Linked DNA regions of Rhinolophus ferrumequinum. The protein of the gene in region 1 purifies or fractionates together with the protein of each later gene. This does not show direct contact. Links are inferred from orthologs where the notes say so. Each region holds a gene or a part of one and is shown on either strand. Other genes may lie near its edges.

The links. Proteins that work in one complex are often made in the same cells at the same time.
Region 2: the proteins of ATP11C (region 1) and TMEM30A purify together in Homo sapiens (co-immunoprecipitation; 4 studies listed by BioGRID and IntAct, with this or other methods). This does not show direct contact. The link is inferred for Rhinolophus ferrumequinum from reciprocal best matches to the Homo sapiens genes ATP11C and TMEM30A.

The regions. Positions count from the first base shown.
Region 1 is NC_046284.1:16,423,469-16,431,085, forward strand, and holds the start of ATP11C (phospholipid-transporting ATPase IG), read left to right. Parts: upstream 1-4,616; 5' UTR 4,617-4,671; intron 4,672-4,927; exon of another isoform or gene 4,928-5,066; intron 5,067-5,422; exon of another isoform or gene 5,423-5,525; 5' UTR 5,526-5,569; coding exon 5,570-5,596; intron 5,597-7,617. UniProt on the Homo sapiens protein: Catalytic component of a P4-ATPase flippase complex which catalyzes the hydrolysis of ATP coupled to the transport of aminophospholipids, phosphatidylserines (PS) and phosphatidylethanolamines (PE), from the outer to the inner leaflet of the plasma membrane.
Region 2 is NC_046286.1:36,111,446-36,118,516, forward strand, and holds the start of TMEM30A (cell cycle control protein 50A), read right to left. Parts: upstream 3,008-7,071; 5' UTR 2,846-3,007; coding exon 2,609-2,845; intron 1-2,608. UniProt on the Homo sapiens protein: Accessory component of a P4-ATPase flippase complex which catalyzes the hydrolysis of ATP coupled to the transport of aminophospholipids from the outer to the inner leaflet of various membranes and ensures the maintenance of asymmetric distribution of phospholipids.

The DNA of each region.
Region 1 (7,617 bases):
AATTTTTAAAAAATTATCTAGAGACATCCCTCCTGTATCCTTCCATCTTCCTACTCTCCTCTGGCGTGGCTGCTTTCTAGGTACGCCCCACAGCTGTTTACCTTGAACTGTCTTTCATTATCAGCTGGAGAATTCCCTTCACCTCTCTTTTATGTTCATCCCGTTCTCTGGGTCTCATGTCTTCGTGTTTCTTGGTTTACTCTCTCATATGATGGAATGCATATTCCAGTGGCTTCCTAAGAAAGGAGGTTGACATTTTATATCATTTACTACTCCTCAACATGGACCCATTGCTCCCGTAGGCAGGTCCACTTACCATCTATTGGAACATTTTCACCTCCATATCTTTGCCATTTCTCTTGGTTAGAACACTCTCCAACTTCCTGTCTGCATGTCCAAATGCTATTTGTATTTTCAAACTAATTTTTATTTTTATGAAAATAATACATGTACATACTTGAAAAGTCAGTTATAAGACTTATTGAGAGAAAAGATAGAAGACCCTTATCCCATTCTTTCTCATTCTCAATTTATGCTCCTAGAAGTCTTTTTCATTATTTAAAAATGTTGTTTCTTCTGGTATTTACTTCTTTATTGCTAAGTAATATAACTATACTGGTATCTTTTAACTTAATGACTTCTTATTATGGAAGATAAAGATTTAGTCTTCTTATGCCATAACCTCTCTAACCTCGTCTCTATCCTCCCAATATAGTTTGGGAGGATGTAGAATTCTGAATTAGAAATCATTTTCTAGGGGGAGGGGGATGGGAGATGAGGGTAAGGGGGATCAAATATATGGTGATGGAAGGAGAACTGACTCTGGGTGGTGAACACACAATGGGATTTATAGATGATGTAATACAGAATTGTACACCTGAAATCTATGTAATTTTACTAACAATTGTCACCCCAATAAACTTTAATTTAAAAAAAAGAAAAAAGAAATCATTTTCTCAGAATCTTGAATTCCAAACTATACCTTAATGAATTCACTATGGTTCCTAGTGATTGCCTCTTCTCTTCCACTGTAATGAAATATCCCATCCTTTTTATCATCGGTTCTAGAATCTCGTCTGCCTTTGATATCATGATTACTAGACTATACCAACTTCCTCTTTTTGAAAAGTAAAACAATATTAGATCATCCATAATCCCCTTGGACTTCTGCTGTCCTCCATGATTACTAATCTCACCTGTCAGTATCCTCAATGTAATTAATACAGCTATGTGGAGCACTATGAGAGAGAGCCCTGATCTCACCTGACAAAGTGACATTTAAGCTAGATCTGAAAGATAAATAGCAAAGACCTTGTGCAAGCATTCCAACAGACATGGTTGCAAGTGCAAAAACTGTCAGGGGAGAAGGAGTTTTGGGAACTCAAGGGATGAAAGGTGTTCAGTGGGGTGGAGTTTGGTGAGTGAGGGGGAGAGTAGGCCCACCCGAGGCTAGAGAGGAAGGCAGGGGTCAGAGAATTCAGGGCCTTGCAGATGATAGTAAAGCAAGATTTGGGACTTATCCTAACAGCAATGAGAAGCTACTGAAAAGTCATAAGCAGAGGAGTGACTGGATCTGATTCATCTTCCAAAGACTTCTGTGGTTGCATTGTAAAGAATGAATTGGAGAGGGCCAATAATTAGGAAGATGTGGGTAAAACTGGTCTTGAATAAACATTAAGGCCAGCCTTGGAAGGGAGAAAGAAATTTCAAGTGGGCAAAGGGTAGTCTCCTAAGGTATATTTGAAAGCTCTGCAGAGACAGTTGAATTTCTCCAACTTGCTGATGGCAGTGATTTAGATGCTGATATAACAGGTTCAATTTTTTTCCTTCCTTTTTTAGTATTAGGTGGAGGAGGTGCCTCCTTTTCATCATTCCTTTCCGCTGGATCCCGAAATTGCTGATCAACTGACTGACTCCAGAAGCAGTTTGCTCCCTTCCTTCTCAACTGTGGACTACATCCAGTATCCTAGAGGTTGTTCTGCCCATTTGCCATGGTGAGATTTCTGAGGGGTTGAGGTAGAAGGTGGGAAAGAACAAGGGGGTCAAAAGAGGGGCTTGCACAGAAATGGGGCCGCACGCTTAAAAAAATCAAGGAGGAACACTCCCTTCCCTTTATCCCACAGTAAGCATTCTATCTACTCAAGATATAATAAGAACAGAAGACTGCTTCCTCACAATTCCTGCCTGCAGGAGACTGGGGCTTCTGCTGCAGTCAGCTGATACACCACAGGAGTTTGTGTTATATACCGCAGCTTCTGACAGTTTAGGCTGGAGGAAGTTAGTTTTTGAAGTTCTGTTTATGGAGTTGGCCAAAAGAAAATGCAGGCTGATGGTCTGCTTTTCATAGTCACTGACAACGGCTTTCTACTACACCTGGGTTTTCTTTAGAAACTGTGAAGAAGCACTGAAAAGAACAAAAATAATTTCTTCTTGTCTTAAAAAAACCAAAAAACAAAGGAAAGTAACTCTAAAGGATGTGAAAGTAACTCTAATTTCAGGTTGAGTTTGGATATGGAAAAAAATTCCCTTGCAAGAAATTTTATGTTTTGCTGAGCATATTTTAATTTATGTGGAATTGCATTTTTATAGTCAAGCAAATTAGTATGGACCCATGCGTATAGGTGTTGTGATGAAACAAATTAAGAGGACCTAGAGATAGTGGAATTACAATAACAAATGAAAATATGACAATACTGCTATTATCTTGGAGGATGCTAAATGCTTTGATTTTAGCTGGGCAACATGGCAATGGCATGTGAGATAATACTCACACAGTGGTGTGTGAGAGAATAGTGCAAAACAATTTCCAGTTCTTTGATTTTTTTAAGTTGACCTGTTTGAATTCATAAGCAAAACACATTTTTCCATCTGTTTAACAAAATTGTGTATGAAAAGATATTACTTATTATTTACTAGTAAGCACTTGCATCACCAAATGTCTAAATTCATTTTCTAGTAACTGTTTTATTGATAAGCATGCATTTATTGATAAGGATTGTAGAATTATGCCTAGAACGAATGAGACCCCAAAATTCCAGTACCTAGAATTGGGCCTGCTACACAGTAGCTGTTCAACAAATCATTAGTGAGTTAATATTATATTAGTTAATATTATATTAATTAATATTAGTTAATATTATATTAGTTGCTGTGTTCAATAAAAGTAAAGCCAGAAAATAAACTCTATTTGAAAATAAATCTTTAAAACAGTAGATGGCAAAAGCTTAGATCCATTTTGCAGTAAAACAAAATATCCTACTATCTGATTAATATGTATATGTATAAATATATATATTTAACATAAATCTCAAAAAATCATTAGATACAGCCTCAAGTGTGAGCAAAGTGAAAGAACCACAATTAGGGAAAGAACTGGGAACGTATGGTTTTACTTCTCGGCGATTAGGACAGTTTGGGAACATACCTTAAGTCTCCTGCATTTGCACGTCATTAGGGATGGGTTACTCGCTCACAGAATCAAGTTCAAACTTCATAGGGTGTTTCTGAAGATCCTTTCGGGGTTTAGTTCCTTCCTGCCGCCCCGGCCCACGCCGCCTACACGTCGGCGGTGTGCCCGTTTTCTTAACTTGCCCTGCACTTTCTCACCCACCTCTTCCTCCACTTTGGACTTTGTAATGCCTCCTTTTGTCAGCTCTTGTAAAGCCTTCCCACTTGTAAAGGTCCAGTTTAGTCTTCAGCGCATTCAGGAAAGCTTAACAACCCCCTTTTCAGATGCACTATCCCTCTGCCGTATTTTCCGAACCTCTACTCCAGCAGCTATCACTTTCTAACGCGCTGTTCTCGCACGTGGGTATCCCTTAACTAGCCTGCGGCCATCTTATTGGGGAGGTCTTTCAAGAATTCGCCATGTCCCGCCCCTAGCACAGGGCCTGGTACAAAGAAAATGTCCAGTAAAGGTTTGTTGAAGTGAACCTGAACCCGAGACGAAAAGGAGAAGAGCCTATGGGCAGCAGTAAAGGCCCTTCACGACTTGAGGGGATGAGGCCCGTGATGTAGCGACTCGAAACTGGCAGGAGAACATGGCCGAGCACAAGGCTCGGGTAGTTTCTGAACTCCCATTACTTGGCTCTTTACGTTTTATAGAGGAATCTGAAAAGTTCAACAGCTTTGGGGCAAGCCATAAAGGGCGGTGCAAACTGAGTGAGGTGGGGTTGGGATGCCCAGTCTCGTGGCAATTCTAGACTCAGCTTTCGTGTTTCGCTTTTAAAGATTCGTGAATTCCAGTTATAAACTAAGAGCCCAAACATGTAGAGGGTTTCACAGTTTTCGCGCCCTTGGGAAGGCTCCCAGCATTCTGGGCTTTGCCTCATTCATCCCTATGACATTTCCCACCGCGGGGAATCTACAGAGTGCTCCCGGCTTCCACATCCAGCCGGTTCTGAGAACTACGGCTCGGCCCTGCGGGCTCAGCCGCTTCCTCCTTCAACCAAACCCAGTACGAGCGAATGGGGGAGCTCCCGGCCCGCGGTACGGGGCGGAATAGGGGCACGACTACAACTCCCAGGATGCCCTGGGCGAAGTGCGGGGGAGGGGCGAGGGGCGGGGGTTGAGGCGGGGGGTGGCAGGGAAATACCGCCCCGCTGCGCAGCAGCAACAACACAAAGCCTGACTTTACAACCTCAGAGAGAAAGTGGAAGTAAGGCGGCTTAGGTGAGAGGCAGGACGAGAAAAAGAACCAGAGGAGGGACAGACGCGTAGGTGGGAAAGGAGCGAGGCGAGGGCAGTCGGGAGACCCCCGCCTTTCCAGATGAGGAGGGGGCGGCTTTCATAACTAGTTCCCTTGCCCCGCCCGCGCTGGTGTCTCCACCGTGTCCTGCCGTTCTCACTCTTCGCCCACAGCCTGGCTGCCTCGTGGGCTTGGGGCTGGCCGGTGGGCGGCACCGTGGCTCCCCAGCCCGGGTGCGGGACGAAAGCGCGGGGCGGCACGGCCGCGGCGGACTGAGGAGGGATTGTGACCGAAGCGGCGCCGCAGAGGAGTTAGGGCCGGGGCAGGGGAGGCTGGGACTCCCGACCGAGCCGGGGAGGTAGTCCCCGGCTGAGGCGAGGTGAGGCGCGGGGTGCCTGCGAGAGTCCTCCCGTGCCCGGAGTGGGGCGGAAGCACGCGGGCTGCCTGGGGGAGAGGGCGGGCGGTGGCACAGCCAGGGGGCAGAGTGGAGACCGCGGGGGCCGAGCCCGGCGCCGGGGGCGAGATAGGACCGTCTCCTCCCCTCCGGAGAAGCCTAACGCTCCTCCGCCTTCCCTCCCCTGCGCGCCGGGCTCGCCTTTTCCGCGGGCTGCTGTGGGATCAGCGGGGCGGCGGGTGTGGCGCCAGATTAGGGGGAGCCACAAGGTTGATGCCCCCGGGGCGGGGGTGGGCGGTGAGTGAGGCGGCGGGGGGTGGGGGCGGCGAGGGCGCGCGCAGCGGGGGGGCGGGGGGACGTGCAGAGCCGAGGAGGGCGGCGGCGGCGGCCGGCGGGTGGCCGGGGAGCACGCCGCAGTGTGTTGTGTGGACGGCACCTTCTCAGACAGACCGCCAGATCCCAGCTTGGCGCCCCCAGCCTTGGACGTGATGTTCCGCCGGAGCTTTCATCGCTTTGTAAGTACACTCCCTGCGGCCCCACGCGGGCCGGTTCTCCGGCTCTTCAGCCCCTCCGCCGGGTCCCTCAGAAACGTTTCCTGAGCAGATAAGTGCATCTGTGGGAGACACCACCACTGTACCCCCTTTGAATTCTCCCGGAAACGCCGCTGTCCCGGCGGCCAGGGTAGGGAGGCAGGTAGGGCTCTCGAGAGTCCTCCCCCCCCCCCCACAGCCAGACGCACACACTCCTGACAATGTAAGCGGAGCTTTCCGGGGCCATTCCCAACTCCGCTTGAGACGGGGAGCCGTCTCAGGCTGGATGGTGGGAGACCGACCTAGGGGCCCCTCGGTTTGTCAATTAGTCGAAGATGGCGTTTTATTATCAGGAAGGTGGCTTTCTTTTGTCTCCTCTGCTGCGAGCACAGGGAGGTAAACGTAGACCCGTATCCGTGGCCCAAAAAAAGACCTGGGGGCTGAGGGGGCCGGAGGCGAGGGCAGGACTCAGCTTTGCCCGGGACTCGGCCGGGCGGCTGCTGTTCGGACACTGGGCAAACTTTGGAGACCCCAGCCTGTGCTCACCTTTAGGGGCTGAGACATAAAAGCGAGGGCGATTGTCGGTGGGTTGCATGGACGTGGAGACGCCTGCAGGCGGCACAGCCGCTGCCAAGAGCCGCGTCTGGAGCCTCGCCGCGCCCTGAATGCCCCAGACATTGAACCCCTGGGGGAAGGCAGGCTGCGGCTGGACTCCTCCGTCCACGTTTCCCCCCTCCCAAGTCCCCAGAACACGGAATGTCTTTTCCGTGCGAGTTGAGCGTAGGGAAAAGCGATTGCTGCATACTGACTTTTTTGAGTAACCTGTTTTACTCGTAAGAGGGTACGTTAATAATAGAGCAAAACAGGGACCATGACTTCTACGCTGCTATTTGTCGTAACTTCCTTAATTGCAAGATGAGGTGGCGGGAATAGGATTTTATTGCTTCCAGTGATGTGAAAGAAAGGGTTCATCTGTAAGTTTAGATTTTTCTGTCGTTAGGGAAAATGGTTGAGTGCTGTGCGCTCCCCCAACCCTTCACAATATGGGTTGGAGAACTTGTCGATTTGGGTCTTTTCATCCGATTATTCCTTATCAAAGCATTGCTGACGTTTTGCATGCGTTGGATGGTTTTGCTCTCGTTTTTTCTGCATTGGAAACTTTCACAAATGTACCCTGGCTAAAAGAAAGAATTGTACATCCCTCTTTAGGATATTATCACAAGAGTGCTGCGTTAATGTTTTTCTAAACGTTCACCTCACCCAGAAACATGTCTTATGAAATTGGAGCAGGTTACCTGTGGCACAGAGCACTAGATCATACATGTCAAGGGTCTTGAAATCTGTAGGAACTGGATGCTTTGCTAAAGCAAGTGACTAAAATTGGTTTCTCACATTTAACCAGAGAAGGTAAAAGAGCATTGTACTTCGTAGTTCTGTTTCACATAGATTCTTGTGATCTTGGAGTGTTGTTTGGGGGTGACAAAAAGGGAAAGGTGACAAAGAGATCTTATTGTAATATTTGGGGAAATGGTAGGCTTTTCACATGGCTTTCTTATAGTGGAAAACAACTGGACTCTGGTTCATAATAAATTCATTAGCTTAAAATTAAGATGTTGACATCGTCGGGTTTTTTTTTTTTTCCCAAGGATTTGAAACCGAACAATCCAAGTATTGGCCTAAGAGCCTCCTTTGCTTTTCTTTTGCTAAGAGTGATCTGCATTGTATCAGAGTCTAGTAATTAAGTACTGCTGGCCCAGGACGCCAGGGCATGCAGTAGAATTTGCAGCAGTTCTTGAGGTGCCAGCCTGCAGGTTTGAGGCCAGTTCTTTGCATCCTGACCAAGATCTCTGCAGAGAATCCCTTAAGCTCACGCTGAAATGAGCTTTGACCTCATTGTTTCAGCTGGAACACCCGACTGCTCACATATTCCCGCACAACCATGACTATGGTAAGTCTCGAGAATTTGTACCAGTGCAGTAAACCGGAGGGTTCTCAGGAGTTGTATC
Region 2 (7,071 bases), on another chromosome or scaffold:
CAGCATCTTAGAGATCATCTACAGATGACCTTTTGGTTCTTCTAGTAAAAAAAAAAAGCATTCAAAAATATGCCTAAGATCACAACAGAGGTGGGACTTCTACTCTAATGCCTTGACTTTTAACTTCAGTGTCCTTTTAACCAGAACAAGCTGCAGCAGGCTCTTTAGGCCACTTGAAATCAGAAGCATATACATGAGAACTAAAGAAATTTCCACTTTACCAACTTCTTAGTGTGAAGAACATTATTTTATTTCAAAACCCAAAAGTTTTAAAGAAAGTAAATATTTATTTTCATAGTATAGTAAATATTAACAGGTGAGTTTTGATACTACCCATCATATAAAATTCCAAATTATTGCTACTTTCACCTCAGTATCTTGAGAAGTTGAAATAAGATGATCAAATTTTTGATGTTAAATTATTTTCTTCTACTTAACTACTAACACTGCAGTAAGAATCTAATGTAGTGTGAAAGCTTAAGGTTGAGAATAAAGACATCTGGTTTGGGTTTCTGCCTCAATTTTACAATATTCTTCTAGCTTACTAGTAAGTATCAATCTCTCTGGCGCCATTTCTCATCTCCTGATTAGGAATCATCATACCTATTTATCGTACAAACTTAATACCAGGAATCTTAGCTATATTGTTTCTAATTCTCACATTTTAAAAGATAGGCATGGGCCGGCCAGTGGCTCAGGCGGAGCTGGTTAGAGCTCCGTGCTCCTAACTCCGAAGGCTGCCGGTTCGATTCCCACACAGGCCAGTAGGCTCTCAACCACAAGGTTGCCGGTTCAATTCCTCGAGTCCCACAAGGGATGGTGGGCTCTGCCCCCTGCAACTAAGATTGAACATGGCACCTTGAGCTGAGCTGCCGCTGAGCTCCCTAATGGCTCAGTTGGTTGGAGCGTGTCCTCTCAACCACAAGGTTGCTGGTTCGACTCCCGCAAGGGATGGTGGGCTGTGCCCCCTGCAACTAGCAACGGCAACTGGACCTGGAGCTGAGCTGCGCCCTCCACAACTGAGACTGAAAGAAAAGCTGACCGGCACCCTCCACAACTAAGATTGAAAGGACAACAACCTTGACTTGGAAAAAAGTCCTGGAAGTACACACTGTTCCCCAATAAAGTCCTGTTCCCCTTCCCCAATTAAAAAAAAAAAAAAAAATCTTAAAAAAAAAATAAAAGATAGGCATTATTTACGTATTTTACAGGTAAGAAAACTGAGGCTCAGAGAGATTAAGTTTTCCAAGAAACTGAGCTAGTTAGTGGCAAAGCTGGAATTTAAACCTAGCTCTGCGTGACCCCAACCTAGAGCCCACGGTACTTGCAATACATCACTTTACTCATATGTGAGATCCTAGTGTGGCTGGGAGAACAAGTACTACATTTGAAGAACTATTAGGGAGACACAAAAGATAAAGCAAATAAAAATACATGCTGAAAAAACATACTGTGACACTTTCTCTAGTTATTACACTGAAAACTAATTTTTAGTAAAAGATTTAAAAGCAATGATATTAGTGTTATTAACACAGAAGTGAGCACTGTAAAAAATTAAAAAATATATATTTTACTTTGAAAAGTAACACTGTAAGTTAAACTGGAAACAGGTATCTTTACACCTATACCTGTAGTCAAAATAAACTTACTCTGAAAGCCCCATTAAATCACATGCAGACGCTTAAAAGGACTTAATAGGACTAGAGGGAAAAATGATGTACTCTGAGAAAACAGAAGAAATCAAGAGACCTTGGTACCAGTTACTGCCCTTTCAAACAGATAAAAATACCCTCAGATATTCAGAAAAAGAGCAGATCTTTATCGTGTCTTCTATCAGTAAACTGTTCTGTAAACAATGTACAACTTATTCTCTCCGTGTGGTCACTGACTTTTTTTAAAAAAAGTTTAAAATCTAGGGGGAAAAAGAAATCGAGGGTGAATGCAGGGCATGGTTATTAATAAACACAGCCTAAAAGCAAAACCGGAATAGAAGATTCAAGTTACCTTTTTACCTATATCATACCCTACAACTAAAAACATCAATTAACTCAAAATAAAAGGTAACTGTGCAAACTTCGGTCATTTGTCCTAACATGTGACCTGGTAAGATACGACAACTTCTTTAGATAAAAATCACCAATACTTCTACGACTCTCGGTCCTTTCCCCAACAATGGCCAAGGTGTTAATCTGCGTTCTAGGAAGTCCCAACACAGATAATGACACTGACCACGTCCCTTCTCCCGCAGTAATATCTAGATATAACTTCTTTTTTTTCCACCTCCTTTTCTCTCTTCTCTCTCTCTCTTAACCTCCGTTGGAGGTAAAAATCTCCAGAGCCACACAAACCGCCTATTAAGGGGCGTTCTTTATCTGACCCACCCTCTGTATTAAACATTCATTTCGTCTCTAACCATGTAAATCGCGAGAGGAAGCTCGGACAAAACTGCAAATTCAGAAAGCCCGCAGAAAGAAGACACTGAGGAAGAGAGAAAGCGTGAGGGAGGTGAAGCCCGGAGGTCAACCTCCAGAGAGCTGAGGAAGAAGTGGGCAGGCCAGGACCCAGCGCCCAAGCGGCGCCAATTGCCACCGCCGCTCCCTCCCCTCACCTCGATCTCGCGGATGTTGTTTGAGGTGACGAAGATGCCAATGCCAATGGGGATGAATATGAGGCCGATGATGAAGAAGGTAGGTAGCACCGTGCCAGCCGTCAGGATGGGCTGCCAAGCCGGCAACCTTTGCTGTTTGAAGGCCGTATTATCCGGCCTCCGGTTCTTAGCGGTGCCCCCAGGAGCACACGCGGGCCCACCATCTACTTCATCCTTCGCGTTATAGTTCATCGCCATTGCCCCCCGGGCGCGGCTCCGCGACGCGCGCAAGTGGACCGCCCAGGGGACCCGTCTGCTGACCCTGAAAGAAGACGCGCAGGCGTCGCTGCCGCCGCCACCTCTAAAGTAAAGGCGGAAGAGGCGGGACACCCTTCCGCAGACGGGCGCTGACCGGAAGTTGGAGTCGGCTGGGGACGCCCCAGGGAGGGGGAGGAGGGAGGAAACTGAGGGACACGGGGAGGGACATAAGAGGGAGGGAAAAGGCGGACGCACGAGGGTCATCTGCCCTGTGACGACAAAGGGTCAAACCCCGGAGCGTGAAGCTACGACAGCGCATGCGCAGGCTTTGAGGGCGAAAAGGGCGGGGCGCCTGCGCGGCAGGCGCGTCTGCGCTCCACTTGCCTAAAGTTCTGTTAGCTCACACCTGTCTGCGGCTCCGGTTATCCTGGTGACGGCCGATCTGAGGCTCAGGTCTGATCCGCCCGGCCCGGACTACCCTAGTTAGCCCTGGAGCTGCTGACAAAGATGTCTTTCTAGTGGCTTCGGCGCCAGACAGGTTTTTGTTTTACCGCGTAGCCCTCTCTGAAGGGAATCGTAGTATTTAAAAGACCACACCAAAGTTGCTTGAACCTGGTATGATTGTAGTATTTCCTTGGGTTATAAAACCGCGAGTTTCTCTAATTAAAGTAAATCGTCATTCAAGGTACAAATACAAACATTAAGTGAGATGCGTGATGGGTGACCCTTTGGTCCCAAAGTAAAAATAAATACGTGACTTGCCCAAAGTAAACATAAATACGTGACTTGGTTAACCCTATTATTTTGACGCTACTTGAGCTATTATCACTTGTCTATGTTCCATTAATGGTCTTCATGTTACATTTTACCTTCTTTTCTGTGTCGTTTCTTTTTTGTGCAGATATAAGAAGTCTTGTAATTAGCTGTAGCTCTTTATTTTACAGATTACAAGAAAAAAGCTTCACATTATGGCATTACTATAAAATGAGATACTATGCAGACACTTTAAAACTGCCAAGTATTTAATGACCGAAGGAAATATTCATGATATAAAAAGTAAGTAAATCTTGATACCAAGGTAGTATTGGTATATAGTATCAAGCCTACCTAAGAAGTAAATAGTGGTAATCTCCATTGACCAGATGGAGAATGTTTTTTCTCTACTTCTTTGCACTTTTTCTGCATTTTCCAAAGTTTCTACAATAAGCATATATTTGTAAAAAAAATTGTTTTGATTATGTACAATCCACATTATATTGGCATCTTTGAAATCCAGACCAGAGAGTAAGTCACATCATCTGAAAACAAATACCCAAAGTTTATTTTCTTTTTCATAAGATTTTATTGGGGAAGGGGAACAGGACTTTATTGGGGAACAGTGTGTACTTCCAGGACTTTTTTCCAAGTCAAGTTGTTGTCCTTTCAATCTTAGTTGTGGAGGGTGTCATTCAGCTTCAAGTTGTTGTCCTTTCAGTCTTAGTTGTGGAGGGCACAGCTCAGCTCCAGTTGCCCTTACTAGTTGCAGGGGGCACAACCCACCATCCCTTGCCGGAGTCGAACTGGCAACCTTATGGTTGAGAGGATGCGCTCCAACCAACTGAGCCACCGGGGAGCTCAGGGGAGCTCACCTCAAAGTGCGGTGTTCAATCTTAGTTGCAGAGGGCAGAGCCCAAGATCCCTTGCGGGACTCAAGGAATTGAACTGGCAACCTTGTGGTTGAGAGCCCGCTGGCCCATGTGGGAATTGAACCGGCAGCCTTCAGAGTTAGGAGCATGAAGCTCTAACCGCCTGAGCCACCGGGCTGGCCCCGAGTTTATTTTCTTTTAGGCTTTGTCGGAAGTCATACCTTTTGGAAGTAATCCAAGAAAAGGGAAACGAAAAGAGTGCTTGGGCCTTGTAATTTACAATTAAATGTATTTTCAAAATGACTACAAGTCTCAAGATGTGAGCCAATCGAATATTAATCTGGTAGATAACTAACTTGCTTGGTTTTGTTCTTACATGACATCCTTATCTCTCAAATTCTTAGTACTGGTAATATAAGTAGGTCTATATTTTGTTTTGAGCCATGTAAGTTTATTTTTAAATGGAAAATATTCTATGTTAGGAATTATATTTCAAATGGAAAGTTATATCTATGTAAGAATATTTTCAAATGGAAAATATTCATCTATCACAGTTAATGGAGAAGGTATGGGCTTCTTTTATTTTGCTAAATTCTATTGGTTAGTAAAAATGTATATAACAGTATTGGGCATAATGCAAAAGTATAAAGATTGAGGCAAGTTTTATCTCCCCATTTCTGCCTGTATCATCAAACCCACTAAATGTGATAGTTCCTTAAGTGATTTGCTATTCCAACATTCTATGTAAGTATGGAGTTATTTTGCCTTCCAGTTGTTTTTTTTTTTTTTTAACTGATCTAAGTGATTGTGATATATTTATCTGCTTTCTTTTTCTTTTTGTTCATAGGAAAGATTAACTTCTTGTTTCTTTTTTCTTAGTAGGAATTCCATTTTGACTGAAACATAGACTTTCCGAACAAGCTTGAATCTAAAGCTTTCTTAGATTCTTATCTAAAACTTAATTTTCAGATGAGAGCCAAATGGATGAAATGACGTTTCAAAATCTCTTGATGTCCTTCCAATTCCTTTCCCTCTACTGTACTCTGCCATCACAACATGCTGCTTTACCCAGTAACATTTTTTTCACATCCACATCATTAGCTTGAGGACTCAGAATTTTATGATTTCATTGGTCATACATTGTTTTATGATAGTTCTTAGGTATTTTTTCATTTAATCTTATGAAGTAGGAATTTTAAAAGGGAAATGTTCAGTATTTCTGGGGCAACAAAAGAGAGTGGTTGTTCTCACAATGGATTTCCACCATATGCATTTTTAAACTGTGGTTGCTAGGAGTGACATGTGCTCACGCGTGTGCTGATGACACATTTAGATAACATTTGTATTGTTTAAATGATTCTTCATTCACTGATTCCTGTTTTTAAAAAAATGTGCTTAATTACATTGATTAATGCTGACTACCAGGTCAATATAGTAAGTGTGCAATGAATGCCTGAGCCTAATAGGGTTTCCAAGCGGGAATTCTCACCCGTTCTCAGGAATTTTTTTCACTTTCCTGTTCGCGAATCCCGAGAAAAGTTGGTTGGGAAATTGGGAAAATCGGCTCCTTGAACCCAGGTGGTTGGTAATATCAGCCGTCACTTTCTGGAAATGATTCATCGTGGAGAACAGAAAACAGTTTATATCTCGGGATTCTGGAATGGGAAAGCAAAAAAAAAAATCCTGAGAACAGGCGGGAATTCCCACCTGGAAACCCTACTAAATATGAAAGTAAATCCAAAATAATAGGCAGATACAAACCCAACAATCTGAAAAGATGTAGATAAATAACTTTAGAGGAGAAGTTTCATAACAAATTTTAATTTTTTTAGTTCAGTTGCTGTTTTCAAGCTATTGAACGAGGTAACCAGAAACATTGGGGGGAAAAATGAATAACTGAGTAACTTAAGGAATTAAGAAGAGGAAACTGAAACTGCTCTTTTTACTGTTTGGCCAACATGGCACATAGATTTGCTTATTAGACTCCTTTGAGTATTTGGTGCTGCTTTAGCTCTCTAGCTTCTAACCATATTCAAACCATTTCATTTATATGTGTAGTTTAATAATGTTTAGAAAATTGAAGAGAGCTGAGAAATGTGCCATAGTTTTTACCAGCATGAATTTCAGAGAAAATTCTTAGGGACTGGAAATGGTTTGAATTGTTTTCAGTGACTGGGTAATATTTTGCTTGTTTCTTTCTAGACGGGAAAAAAAAAATTCTATTTAGTTGATCGTGGCAGCTTACTTAGAGAAGTTTGAGGGGATTAAATAATATTCATTTTTAATTGAGGCGATATTTAAGAAAAGAGTGACATAGAATTTGTATAATAAATTTATTTTCTTGTACTTATTACATCAGAGATTAATTCAAACTGATTTTGAAAAATTCTTTTAAAGTTGACCTTTTCCTGATTTTCATGTATACGTATTTATTAAACTTTTACTTAGGCACTTAAGAAAATCCTTTTGTTCTGACATTGAGAGAGTGATAAGCCTGAGATCATTGGTGTTGTGATGAAATATTTTGCAACTTTATGAATGACCACAGTCAGTAATCAGAAATGCAAGTCAAACATGATATTTAAATGATTATTCTCATTA